Canis lupus familiaris: one gene and its partners. The protein of the gene in region 1 binds, or shares a complex with, the protein of each later gene. Links are inferred from orthologs where the notes say so. Each region holds a gene or a part of one and is shown on either strand. Other genes may lie near its edges.

What was found.
Region 2: the proteins of TLN1 (region 1) and APBB1IP are in contact, whole or in part, in a crystal structure (PDB 4W8P), measured with the Mus musculus proteins. The link is inferred for Canis lupus familiaris from reciprocal best matches to the Homo sapiens genes TLN1 and APBB1IP. Residues at the interface, in NP_035732.2 of Mus musculus: Leu1492, Ala1495, Thr1496, Val1498, Ala1499, Thr1502, Ser1503, Cys1506, Asn1507, Arg1510, Val1526, Ala1529, Lys1530, Ala1533, Asn1534, Thr1536, Ala1537, Val1540, Ile1543, Lys1544, Asp1547; in NP_062329.2 of Mus musculus: Asn5, Ile8, Asp9, Met11, Phe12, Thr14, Leu15, Glu18, Met19, Leu21, Leu22, Ser25.
Region 3: the proteins of TLN1 (region 1) and PIP5K1C are in contact, whole or in part, in a crystal structure (PDB 1Y19), measured with the Mus musculus proteins. The link is inferred for Canis lupus familiaris from reciprocal best matches to the Homo sapiens genes TLN1 and PIP5K1C. Residues at the interface, in NP_035732.2 of Mus musculus: Pro209, Val210, Gln211, Leu212, Leu214; in NP_032870.2 of Mus musculus: Pro646, Leu647, His648, Tyr649, Ser650, Ala651.

The regions. Positions count from the first base shown.
Region 1 is NC_049232.1:52,548,807-52,552,424, reverse strand, and holds part of TLN1 (talin-1), read left to right. Parts: intron 1-153; exon of another isoform or gene 154-298; intron 299-1,699; exon of another isoform or gene 1,700-3,364; 5' UTR 3,365-3,397; coding exon 3,398-3,527; exon of another isoform or gene 3,528-3,618. UniProt on the Homo sapiens protein: High molecular weight cytoskeletal protein concentrated at regions of cell-matrix and cell-cell contacts. Involved in connections of major cytoskeletal structures to the plasma membrane.
Region 2 is NC_049223.1:5,059,212-5,063,526, reverse strand, and holds the start of APBB1IP (amyloid beta A4 precursor protein-binding family B member 1-interacting protein), read left to right. Parts: upstream 1-1,418; 5' UTR 1,419-1,629; intron 1,630-1,980; exon of another isoform or gene 1,981-2,036; intron 2,037-4,315. UniProt on the Homo sapiens protein: Appears to function in the signal transduction from Ras activation to actin cytoskeletal remodeling. Suppresses insulin-induced promoter activities through AP1 and SRE. Mediates Rap1-induced adhesion.
Region 3 is NC_049241.1:56,191,418-56,195,035, reverse strand, and holds part of PIP5K1C (phosphatidylinositol 4-phosphate 5-kinase type-1 gamma), read right to left. Parts: intron 2,787-3,618; coding exon 2,666-2,786; intron 1,879-2,665; coding exon of another isoform or gene 1,855-1,878; exon of another isoform or gene 1,460-1,854; intron 1,421-1,459; coding exon 1,343-1,420; intron 1-1,342. UniProt on the Homo sapiens protein: Catalyzes the phosphorylation of phosphatidylinositol 4-phosphate (PtdIns(4)P/PI4P) to form phosphatidylinositol 4,5-bisphosphate (PtdIns(4,5)P2/PIP2), a lipid second messenger that regulates several cellular processes such as signal transduction, vesicle trafficking, actin cytoskeleton dynamics, cell adhesion, and cell motility.

The DNA of each region.
Region 1 (3,618 bases):
CTAACCCTGACTTCGCCATCACTGCTCCCTTGCAGGTACCATGCGCTTCAACCAGCCTGCCTACTCACTTCCCCCAATGCTCCTCCATGATTTCCTGCTCCTCCACCTTTGCTTATGCTCTTCTCTCTGCCTGGAATGCTACCCCTGACTCACCTCCTACTGGGATAGTGGAGACAACTTGGGCTTTGGAATCAGAGAGACATGGGTTCCAATCCTGGCTTCACAACTTATTAGCTGTATGACTTTGGAGAAGATCCTTGAATGAGTATTTAACATCTTTGCACCTCAGTTTCTTAATCTGTAAAAATGGAAATAATCATACTTATCTTGCCAGGTTGTTGTAAAGTTTAAATGAAATGACGTATACAAAGAAATTGACATAATCATCAATTAAAGCTAGTTCCTTATGATTTTTTTTTTATTATCTTTATTTTAAGCCCTAACTTCAAATGACACTTTTCACAGACATTTTTTTGGTACCTCTTCCCTAACCTAAAGGGATCTCTCCCCTGAACACGCGCCTCTTGACTCTTACCACATCCTGCCCTGTGTTAAAATTCTGTATTTAGCTTATCCACTCAACTAACTGGGAAACACCCCCTCACCCCACCCCACCCCCACCCCCAACGAAAGCGAAGGCTAGGGCTTGCTCTTCTTGCTTCCCAGTCACTGGGAGTTTGGCTCAGGGCTTTTTTCACAACAGACCCTCAGAAATGCCTGTTGGGTAAATGGAGGGAGAATGTCTATGTAAAGGGAAGAGAGATGTTGGGGCAAGTTGCTCTCTTACCAATAGAAGTGTGTGTGTTTGTGGGGAAGCTGTGTGCGTGGGATGGGGTCTTTACAGGAAGATAATGTGGTTGTGATGGGGTCTGTATAGGGACTGCATGTTTGAGATAATGTATATGTAGAGACAGTTTAAGTAGCTTTGTGGGAAAGAGCTCTGTGCATAAACCAGGGTGCAGATGGGGAAAATGAATATGCATAGATCGGTGTAGGTGGTGAGGGGCTGTGTTGAGAGAGATCAAGTCCAGCCCTTCAGCTGCCCAGTCCAGCCTTAAATGAGCCTCCAGCAGCCCAAGGCCGGATATGTCATTCTCACCCACAACCCCCCCCACCCCTCCTCCCCGTGGTTGCCGACTCAGAGGCCAAATTTGGTAACAGACTGAGTGTTACTCCCCCAACCCTCATACATTCTGACTTTGTCTTCAGCTTTCTCTCTCCCTTGTCCCTTTCCATAGCTCCCTGTCTTTCTGCAGCTCCCTTTGTGGGGCTCTGCTCTGACTCTATTCTCCATGTACCCCAAATTCTTTACCCCCAATACTTACATTCCATTCCTTGCTGGGATTTGACCTCTTGTCCTCCACCCCCACCCCACCCCCAATTGCCCAACTCCTCTGGAATGCATCTCAGGAATGTCTTGAGGGAGGAGGAGTTCCCTGGGAGGGGGATATGGTGGGGGGGGGGGGGACACTGTTGCTGTTTCATAAAACGTGATAGAAAAGGGAGCAAAGTTTTCAGGCCAGAGCAGGAACTGGATAGCTTCTCCCCAAACTTCCAAGGGCCTCGTTCTTTGCCCTCATCACCCTCAGTTAACTTCTCCATTCCCTTTCCTCCCTCACCATCTTGTCACTCTGTGGGTATCCACTCAGAACCAGCCTGGGAGGGTAGGCATGACTCATCTCTCTTATCGGGGTCTCACCAGAGGTTTCCGTGCTTGAAGAAGGGGGTGTCCATATGTCCGGAGGAAATGGGGGAGGCTTTCAGCTTAGAGTGGAGGATCCTTTCAGTGCTGCCCTCAACATCTCTGACTCCTCCACTTCGCTGACCTTCCAGCCCTCCAGCAGCCTCACAGCCAGGTCTGTCAAGCTACTGGGAGAGGTGACCGAGAAATGGGGAGGTGGGCAGAGAGCTGGGGAGACTGGAAGAGTCCTCATTTGTTTGGAAATAAGAGAGTGAGCCATGGTTTCTTGGGAGACTCTGGACTGTTTCTAAGGTCAGAAGCGGTCTAGCGCATCCCTGACCCGTACCTCTCCCACACAGGCCCGCCTCCTGTCTCTGGATTTTCAGTCTCCTCCACCTCACCCTTCCTAACCTCTTCACCCTCCAAAAACCTATCCCTTCCCAACTTCCCTGGCTCTCAGCCAGCCCCTGTACCCCAGCACCCCCACCTGTTCCAGCCTACCCCTGGTCCTGCGTTCCCCCCTTGGGGCTGGCAGCCTACTGGGAGGGGGTGGGTGGCCCAGGTTTGTTCATTCTCTTAGTTGAAAGGAACCAATCTCTGTACCAAACTGGGTCACATCATCAGCTGCCAGGCAGACTTGTCCTCTCATGCCCTGGGTGCCATCTGCCACCTGCCAGGAAGGGCGCCTCCAGCCTACTGAGAGGTGGTGCCAAGGAGGGACAGGGAAGTCAGGGTGTGGTGGGTATCTTGAGCTGCACTGAAAACACCAGCAAGTGAGACAGCGGGACGGACTTGAGAAGGACTTACTGAAGATGGGAGAACTTGTGAGGAGTTGTTGTGAGGGCAGGCTGGGTATTCGCTTGGTGACTTGGAGCAAGGACCAAGTTAGAGGGACTGGGCTCTTCATCTGACCTGCCTTGAAACTCCCCCACCTACCCCACCATGGTCTCTGATATCCATTCTGCAAAACTGAAGAGCTGAGATCCCTCTGGATTAGAGAATCATCATTCTAGCTTGACTGCCAGGGAAGCCAAATATGGGGCCAGGCTCCTTGGGAAAGCCCTTCCCTCTCTAGTTAGAGGAAAGCAGGGGGTGAGAGTAGGCTGTTTGGTCTCCCTGCTAGGCTAGCTAGAGTCGGTGTTTGCAGGCTTCGTTTGCAGGCTTCAGGATCTCTTGGGAATTACCTAATATAACGTCTTCATTTTGCAGAGAAGGAGGCTAAAGCTGTCAGAGGGAAGGTCACATGATGAGTCAGGGCAGAGCTCTGAAAATCCCAGACAGGAAAAAGCAAGACCTAGTTAGAGACAAAAAGAGAAAAAGACTGAACCAAGAAAAAATAAAAACAAGGCTGAGACAGGGCTAGAAAAGGAGCAGGGTAAGGAGCAAGAGAGAGAGAGACACTTGGCAGAAAGAAGGGAGGCACACATTCTAGTGGTAGGGACAAAATGGTGTCCTCAGGGAACACTGCATTGCAGACCAGACTCCTTCACATATCTTAGGTGGTTAGGATTGGTTCTTTAGGTGTACATAATCTTTCACTCTTTAAAATTCTGAAATAAAACAACTACGTTACTATTTGCTCTGGTAAGTCCCTCTCAAAAACACCTCTCCCTGGGGCTCCATCTTGGGGACCTCCTCTCCTCTACTGAGGATATGTTTTAATGCCCTGACCCCACGGGCCAGGTATAGCCAGGCTGGAGAAGAGAAGCTGCCACCATGGTTGCACTTTCGCTGAAGATCAGCATTGGGAATGTGGTGAAGACCATGCAGTTTGAGCCATCCACCATGGTGTATGATGCCTGTCGCATCATTCGTGAGCGCATCCCAGAGGCCCTGGCTGGCCCTCGTAAGTCTGAGTACCCCGGTGGCAGGTGGGGGAAAGTCCCTTGTTCCCAGGCTCTTGGCTTTAAGGGATGACCCCGTTGTCCCTCAAGGCT
Region 2 (4,315 bases), on another chromosome or scaffold:
TCCCCTCGTTCTCCTCTAGCTGTATTAGCTACTTTGCTGTTCTCCCAGCATCCCAAGTACCCTCTTAACCCAGAGCCCTTGAACATTCGCACTCAAAAATCCACATTAATTAATTTCTCAAGTCATTTAGGTCTGGCTCAAGTGACACATATCAGAAAGATCTTCCTTGATGATCCTAATTAATAACAACAGCTCCATCCCCACTACCATCACTCCCACCTTTTAATTCCCTCCAAAATACTTATGTCACTCATGAGTTAAATATTAATTTGCAGAGACACATGGGTGGCTCAGTGGTTGAGCATCTGCCTTTGGCTCAGGGCATGATCCCCAAGTTACAGGATCAATTCCCACATTGGGCTTCTTGCACAGAGCCTGCTTCTCCCTCTGCCTATGTCTCTGCCTCTCTCTGTGTGTGTCTATCATGAATAAATAAATTAAATCTTTAAAAAATATATTAATTTGCTGTCTCCCAACTAGAAAGTACTATCCAGGAGAGCAGGGAATTGTTTTCTCCATAACTATTTCCATTGTCCCTAGATGAGTAGGTGTTTAATAGTTTTTCGTTAAGGGATGCCTGGGTGGCTAAGCAGTTGAGTGTCTGCCTTGGGACCAGGCCATGATCCTGGACGACGAGTCCCCCACGGGGCTCCCTACCGGGAGCATGCTTCTTCCTCTGCCTATGTCTCTGCCTCTCTCTCTCTCTCTCTTTCTCTGTCTCTCACGAATAAATAAAATACTTAAATTTTTTTTTTCATTAAATGATTGAACTATCTTAATTTACCTACTTTGTGCCTCGCATATGTCTTTGTCTTCTCCACCCCCTTCCCCACACATAAGCCCTAAAAGACACAGCTGTATGTATAGGGGAAGAGGAGCTGGATTCAACCACATTTACAAATCGTGCTTTTAACTTCTATATTTTCAGATCTCCCCTCATTCTCTCAGGAGGCCCCCCTCCCTCTGAGCAGCCTCCGGTTACTTCCAGTCAGTGCTGTGCTATTACAAATCATGCGGCCGAGAATGGGCGTGGGTATATATGCAAAACTCCGTGTCACCACTCCTATCACCCTAATACATTCTGAGAAGTGGGATTTCTGGATCAAAGGATAACTGCATATGTGAGTTTAATAGCTATTGCTGAGTTCGCCTCCGCGGGGATCACCGGATTTTTGGGTTTCCACGGGCAGCGGTGTGCGCCAGCGAGTGCCTGTTTCTTCACGGCCTCGCCGGCCAACTCAGTGTCGTTAAGCTTCAGGGGGGTTGGCCAATCCGACAGTTGAGAAATGGCCCGGACCGAGCGCGCCCTTCCCCACCCACCCGATCGCTGACCTCGGACAGCCGCGCCGCGTCACCCGGCCGGAGCGCATCCCCGCGGCGTGGCGAGCCAGGCAGCTGCGCGCACGCGCGGGGCGAGGTCCGCGCTCGGCACGCGGGCGCCGAGGCCCCCAAGGGTGGGCTGCGCGCCGCGGAGATCCGGCTTTGCTCAACCCTCCCGAAAGAGGAAGCGCGGAAGGGCTTGAAGCAAACACTTAGGCCGACCGTTGCAACAGCGCTCAGGGTGTCGGGCTTCTGCGGAGCCGTCGTGTGGCCCCACATCCCTCAGCCACGGGTGGACCGAGTGACGAGGCAGGATCGCTGAGCGAGGGAACGAACGCTCGGAGAGAAGGGGGCGCGCGGAGGGGAGGGGTCAGACGGGAAGGCCCAGCTTCTCCCAGAACTTAGAAAACCAAGAACTTTCCCCCCCCCCCTCCTTCAAGGGCGTGGCGAGGAGGGGGAGGGCCGGGGGACATGCGGCTCGGAGCCGGGAGCTGGGAAAGCAGCAGCCCCCGAGGCGCAGGAGCCCTCCTCCACACGTCCCCCCGCGGGGGCGCCACACGGCGGCGCGCTGCGCGGGGAGGGCAGGGCCGACACCACTTCCTCCAGCGCCGCCGACCTGAGCCGGGCGCCGCCCAGTGTGCGCTTCGCCTGCCCCGCGGCTGCCGCGCCGCGCCGCGCCCGCGCCCGCCCCAGCCGAGGCCCCGGGAGCCGTCAAGGTAAGCGGCCCGGCGGGGGCCCCGAGGGCCGGTGTCTCCCGCGGGTCTGCGTCTGACCCCGGGTCCGACCCAGCTCCCGGCCGTGGCCCGGAGGACTCGCGCGCCCCGCCCGGCCCGGCCCTCGGGGGGACGCGCGGCCCCGGGATCCCCGCTGCGCCCAAAGCTGCTTCGGAGGTGGATGGAGAAGTGGCCGAACCCTCGCCTGTCTGGCGGCCCAGGAGCCCCGACTGACCCCTCCGGAGGAATTCCGGGGGGCGCTCTAGGGCACCGTACATCCAGGGCCGGTCGTGTGAGAATTTGAGATTGACGATCGCAGTCTGACGTATCTTAGGGTGTTTCCTGAGTTTAAAACTTTTGGACAACCGTATCTTCTTTTTCTTAAAAAAAAAAAAAAAAAAAGTCTTTACTAGTGATACTCCTTTTCGTTTTAAAATAAGATAGAGGGGGACGACGCCTGGGTGGCTCAGTGGTTGAGCGTCTGTCTGCCTTTGGCTCAGGTGGTGATCCCGGGGTCCTGGCATCGAGTCCCGCATCGGGCTCCCTGCAGGGAGCCTGCTTCTCCCTCTGCCTGTGTCTGCCTCTCTCTCTGTGTCTTGAATGAATGAATGAATGAATGAATGAATGAACCTTTAAAAAAAATAAGATAGAGGAACGATTTGGACACCAGGAGTTAGTCTCATAATTTGGCTTGGAGCGAATGGCCAGAGTGCCATTTTGTAGCACGAAAGAAACTAACTAGGATGTCCTGATATCCAGGAGTCGCCCTGAACCCTTGACCCCCTGCACCTCTTATTTTTCTTCTGGGAAGGTATTTCTTGTACATACCCTTGTGGAACGCTAAAGGTGTGGTTTCCTAGAGGCATTCTAAATTCTCGGCCTCTGAACAGAAATTTCAGAAAAGAGAGCTTTTGTCCCTTGGAATAAACCACCACTGACAATTTTCCCTCTGGCCTCACTGAAATAGTCTTATAGTTAAGACTAGCTGACAAAATTCACAGAAAATGTGCTAAGAAACCTTCCATAACCTCTTCCGGGTAGTATTTCCTGTCTGTTCAGTATGTTGTGAAAGGTCTAAGAAATATAATGTCATCTTTGGGTTATTAGTACTTAATAATTTTCACAGTGATACTAATATTTGTGTTTTTTCTTGGTATTTGGATCTGTTGAAAAACTGAGGTGGGGCATTGTTGTGCCCAGGCTTGGGCAGATCAACATTAGATTTCAAAATTCTTCAATTATTATCTCTCAAGAAATATATCTTTATAATATGGATTATATTATGATTTAGTTACTTTAAATCTTAAACATGATACTCATTAGGCTATACAGTGTCCATTAATTTTTTATATTTTTATATCCTAGGAATGAATACCAAATACCTAATTTTTTAATGTTTATTAACTTATAGTAAAAAAGTTCTAGATATTTTCATCTTATTATTAAAATGAATCACTTATAAAATTTATTGCCATAAATGTCTATGCTTGATATGCCGCTCTGAATTTCTTTAAACCATACTACTTTCTTTTCTTTTTCTTTTTCTTTTCTTTTCTTTTTTTTTTTTTTTTCTTGAGAGAGAGAGACAGAAATAGTGAGAGAGAGCAGGAGCAGGGAGGAGAGGGAGAAGCACATTCCCTGCCGAGCAGGGAGCCTGACATGGGGCTTGATCCCAGAACCCTGGGATCAGGACCTGAGCCAAAGGCAGACGCTTAGCTGACTGAGCCACCAAGGCAGCCATAAGCCATACTACTTTCAAAAGCATTATTTTTATTTACTTTTAATTAAAATCTTGTTTTAATTATTTTTATATCCAAAACCTTGTAGTGAGTCCACAGATCTTATAATAAATTAAGTTGGCATATCATAGCTTGCCACACCAAAATATTTTCCATTTTAAAGACCTCATGAGTTTATTTTATAGGCCATAGAATGATCTTAGTAATTCTCACCTCAAAATAGAGCAATTCTTATTAACATACTTTTAGTATGTAAATATGTCTATATATCTTTTAAAGATTTTATTTATTTATTTATGAGAGACACACAGAGAGAGGCAGAGACATAGGCAGAGGGAGAAGCAGGCTCTCTGAAGGGAGCCCCATGTGGGAGTCCATCCCAGGACCCCAGGATCATGACCTGAGCTGAAGGGAGACACTCAACCACTGAGCCACCCAGGTGTCTCAATATGTCTAAGTTTTATGTCAGTTCTGTCATTCTATGTGACAAGTAGCTTAAAGTTTAAGCAATTATTATAAATTTAAGTAATTCATTATAAATTC
Region 3 (3,618 bases), on another chromosome or scaffold:
GGTAGTCCGGGAGCATGGGGCGAGGCCTCTTTTGGGGCTGCTCATGCCCAGTGTCCAACACAGGGCAGCTGCAGCACACATTCGATGCCAGGGCAGCTGCCCCTCTAGGACAAGAATGTGGGACAAAAGAATCTCCATCTGAACTCTGCAAAGAGCTGGCCTCAGGGGAAGGAGGGATCGCGGGCAGCAGGATCCAGAACTCTGCGATGACCCCACTGAAGTGGGGCCAAGGACACATCCTCCCCAGGCCCTAGGGTCTGTGCCCACTCACCTAGCCCTCACACTTGCTTCCGTTGTGCCCTCTATGGAGGCCCCCTCCTCTTCCCGCCTCCCCACATCCTGAGTGTTTTCTGGTCCGGGTCAACCCCTCTCCAGGCAGCCTCTGCAAATCACTTCCCCAGGGGGCCTCAGGGCCTGCTGTGTATCCCCAGCTCTTGGATCATCTTCGGGGTGTGGAATCCCTGTCTCAGCAGGACACAGCATGGCAGGAAGGTCTGGGGAAGTGGTTTCCACTTCTTGGGTTTGCTTGGCAGTGCTGGACACCCACTGACGCTCAGAGGCATTTAGGGTAGGGGATGGGAGCCTCTGAGGGGCCTCATCTTGAGAACAGAAATTCCTACTTCAAGTATTCAACTTGTTTTGCCTGCTTGAGTGCTGTGTGGCTCTGGGCAGGTTCCTAGGCCTCTCTGCGTCCCTCATTTATTGCTCATGACGAAAGTAACAGGTCCTGATAATACCATGGCTACACGATACCCACAGTGTCCCAAGCACAATAGGTGTCTACTAGACACAGGGGCTGCTTGGGAATTTGGACCCAGATTTTACCTGAACTGTGCCCTTTTGTGGGCTTCCTGGGGAGCTGAGCCCGTGGTTTCTCCACTATCAAGTAGGTATGGAGATACCACCTCCTCTCTCCTGCAGCGAAAAGCTTGGCTTTGAAGTCCCTTTGCTGACCCACATGACCACCTGCTTCTGCAGGGCAGATGCCCCTTGGGGGGCCACTGGCAGCCAGGTCTGAATATTAGACAAGAGTCTACCGACTTGTCCCTGACTTAGCAGGCTGGGGAGGGGGCAAAGACAGCCAGGGGCTGGGGTCAGATGCAGACCCCATCGCTACAGACAAGTCCCCTTAGCCCTGGCTGTGTGCCTACCGGCCTAGCAATGCCCACCTCAGAGGGACCTAGGTGACATCACTGGGGACACATGACCAGCTTCAGTCGTGGTGATTATTTCCCCAAGTCCCTTCGCAGAGGACGAGGGACAGCCAGGACTTGTGGCTCCCTGCTGCCCAGGGTGGTGGGACAGGGGCTGGGCTCCCTGGAGGCCTGCTGTGGTCACTTACAGTCCCTGAGGAGCTCAGCGTCACGGCCCGCAGTCGGCGATGCCGGGGAGAGTAAATCCAGTACCTCCCATCGGTGAACTGGGCGGGCCGGGTGGGCGGGGGAAGAAGCAAACAGAGGACAGGATGAGGCAACAGGAATCCAGGGGACGGTTAGGTGGGGAGGGTGCTGGGCAGGGGCAGGTAAGCCGATAGCCAAGCAGGAGGTGAGTTTCAGGGTGGCAGGGGTCCCACAGCAGCCCGATACCTTCTCTGCTGCCCACAGGGCCTGGCCGCCCACTTGGGTGTCAGGACCCAGACACACATACAGGACATGGCCCCCTGGGGCCACCTCACACACCGGTCCACAGGATGGGACACAAACCAAGCCCCCAGGGATGGGGATATGACGGCGGGTGTGTGGACGCATAGACAGTGCACCTGTTCCTTCTCCAGGCCCGACGGAGGCCCCAAGACAGAGCAAGGTGGTGTTAGCTACACAGCAGCAGCAGCAGCAGCAGCAGTAGGCCCCCAGCTCACTGGCCAACAAGATCGAAGGTCTGGGAGGAGGAGAGGCAGTCCCCTTCATTGCATAAGGCCTTCTGACCTGACCCCTCAGTAGGGCTGCCTGAGGAAGGCAGCCCCAGGACCCACTGGGGCAGGGGGGGTGTCATTGGACTGGATTTTGCAGGCTACCTGGCTGCCCAGCACCCACCTCACCCAAGCTCCTGGCCCAGCTGTTTGCCTGTGGGAGATGCAGCGGGGGGAGGCGACCCCCTGCTCTGGAAGAGAGGTCCCAGGTCCCTGGGGGAGGGCCGCTTCTTGCTCCCACAGACCCCGCCCCATCCAGGAGCAGCCATGAGTCCTCAGCCAGTGAGGTTGGCAGCGTGAAGCACACCTACCCCTTGCCACAATTCCCTTGCATCCTTGAGAACAAAACCCGCCTAGCTGTACCCACCACCCAGCAGGAGAAGATCCACATGGTTTGCAGCCCTCAGAGGCTGGCCCGGTGGGGCACACAGCTTGAGGACTCCAGATGTTTCCTAGGGAGATGCGGTGGCATGGCTAGGGCCTTGCCTGGCGGTGGTCACGAGGCCTGGGGAGGAGGGACAGGGCTGTTTCCTGGTCTTGGAGTAGCCTGGCCTGGATGGCGAAGGCAATGTGCTCCCATGCCATGTGAGCATGTGATGTGAACGTGTGTGAGGGCACACTGGGCGTGCAAGAGTGTATGCATGTGACTGCTGACCAGTCAGTGCACTGTGTCCACGTGGGTGTTCTGTGAGTGTGACTGCAGGAGTGTATGCCTGGTCAGGGGTCTGGTGACGGAAGGAGTTGCAGGGGACTTACAAAGTAGATGTCTGTGGCGGGTGCATCCTCCTCATCCGAGGCCTGGCTGGCGGGCTCCGAGGCCTGGCTGGTGGTTTCTGCTTCGGCAGCCGCACAGGCATGAGCTGGAGAAGCCTCCACCCTGGGGACACGAGGACAGGGGAGTCCTGAGGCGGGGCTCCGGACAGCACCCACACCAGCCCCAGCCTGCACCTGCCTCTTCCCCTCTCATCAGGAGGTCATCATGGGGACAAAAGACTCAGGAAGCCAAATAACTGCCCCCCCACCCCCTGCCTCCAAACACCTCTGTGGAGAGGTGGGGAGGATGTGCCCACCAACAGGTGAGCCTCTACTGACCTCTGCTCAAGCACACACGGGTGGGCAGGTCCTGGCCTCACCACTCACCCCTGGCGACCCTGAAGGTCCTTTCCCAACCCTAAGCCTCAAGTAGCCCCACCTGTAAAGGAGGGACACCTAGCACCCATCCCACATTGAGGTCAGAACCCCTTCGTAATCTTTACTGAGCATTTGCGATCTTGGAAGAGCCAGGTATCCTGAGTTATGGAAACAGGCTCCAGATGGGAGGCGAGGCGACTCCTAGGTCTCACCTGGTGGCCAGGTGATTGGGGGCACAAGTTCATCTCATGAGCAAAATGCACAGCTCTGAGATGGGAGGGGCACCTATAACCACGGGGAGCTGGCTCTCCAGCCACGTGGGATGGTAGGCTGTTTTGGGGGCAAAGACAGAAAGATGTGTCACACGGCAGGAATTCAGTTAATGGGAAAAAGTGGCTGGTGGCAGAAACCGCTGTGTGTGCACGCGGGCGTCTGTCTGCGTGTCTGCAAAGTAATTCTTGATGGCAACGCGCAGGCGGGGAGTGTGTGTGAACGCTAAGAAAGGGGTCTTGGAAAGAAGAGAAATTTTAGAAGCAGGGAAAGAGAAATCAACAATGGAAGCAAGAAGAATTTGATAA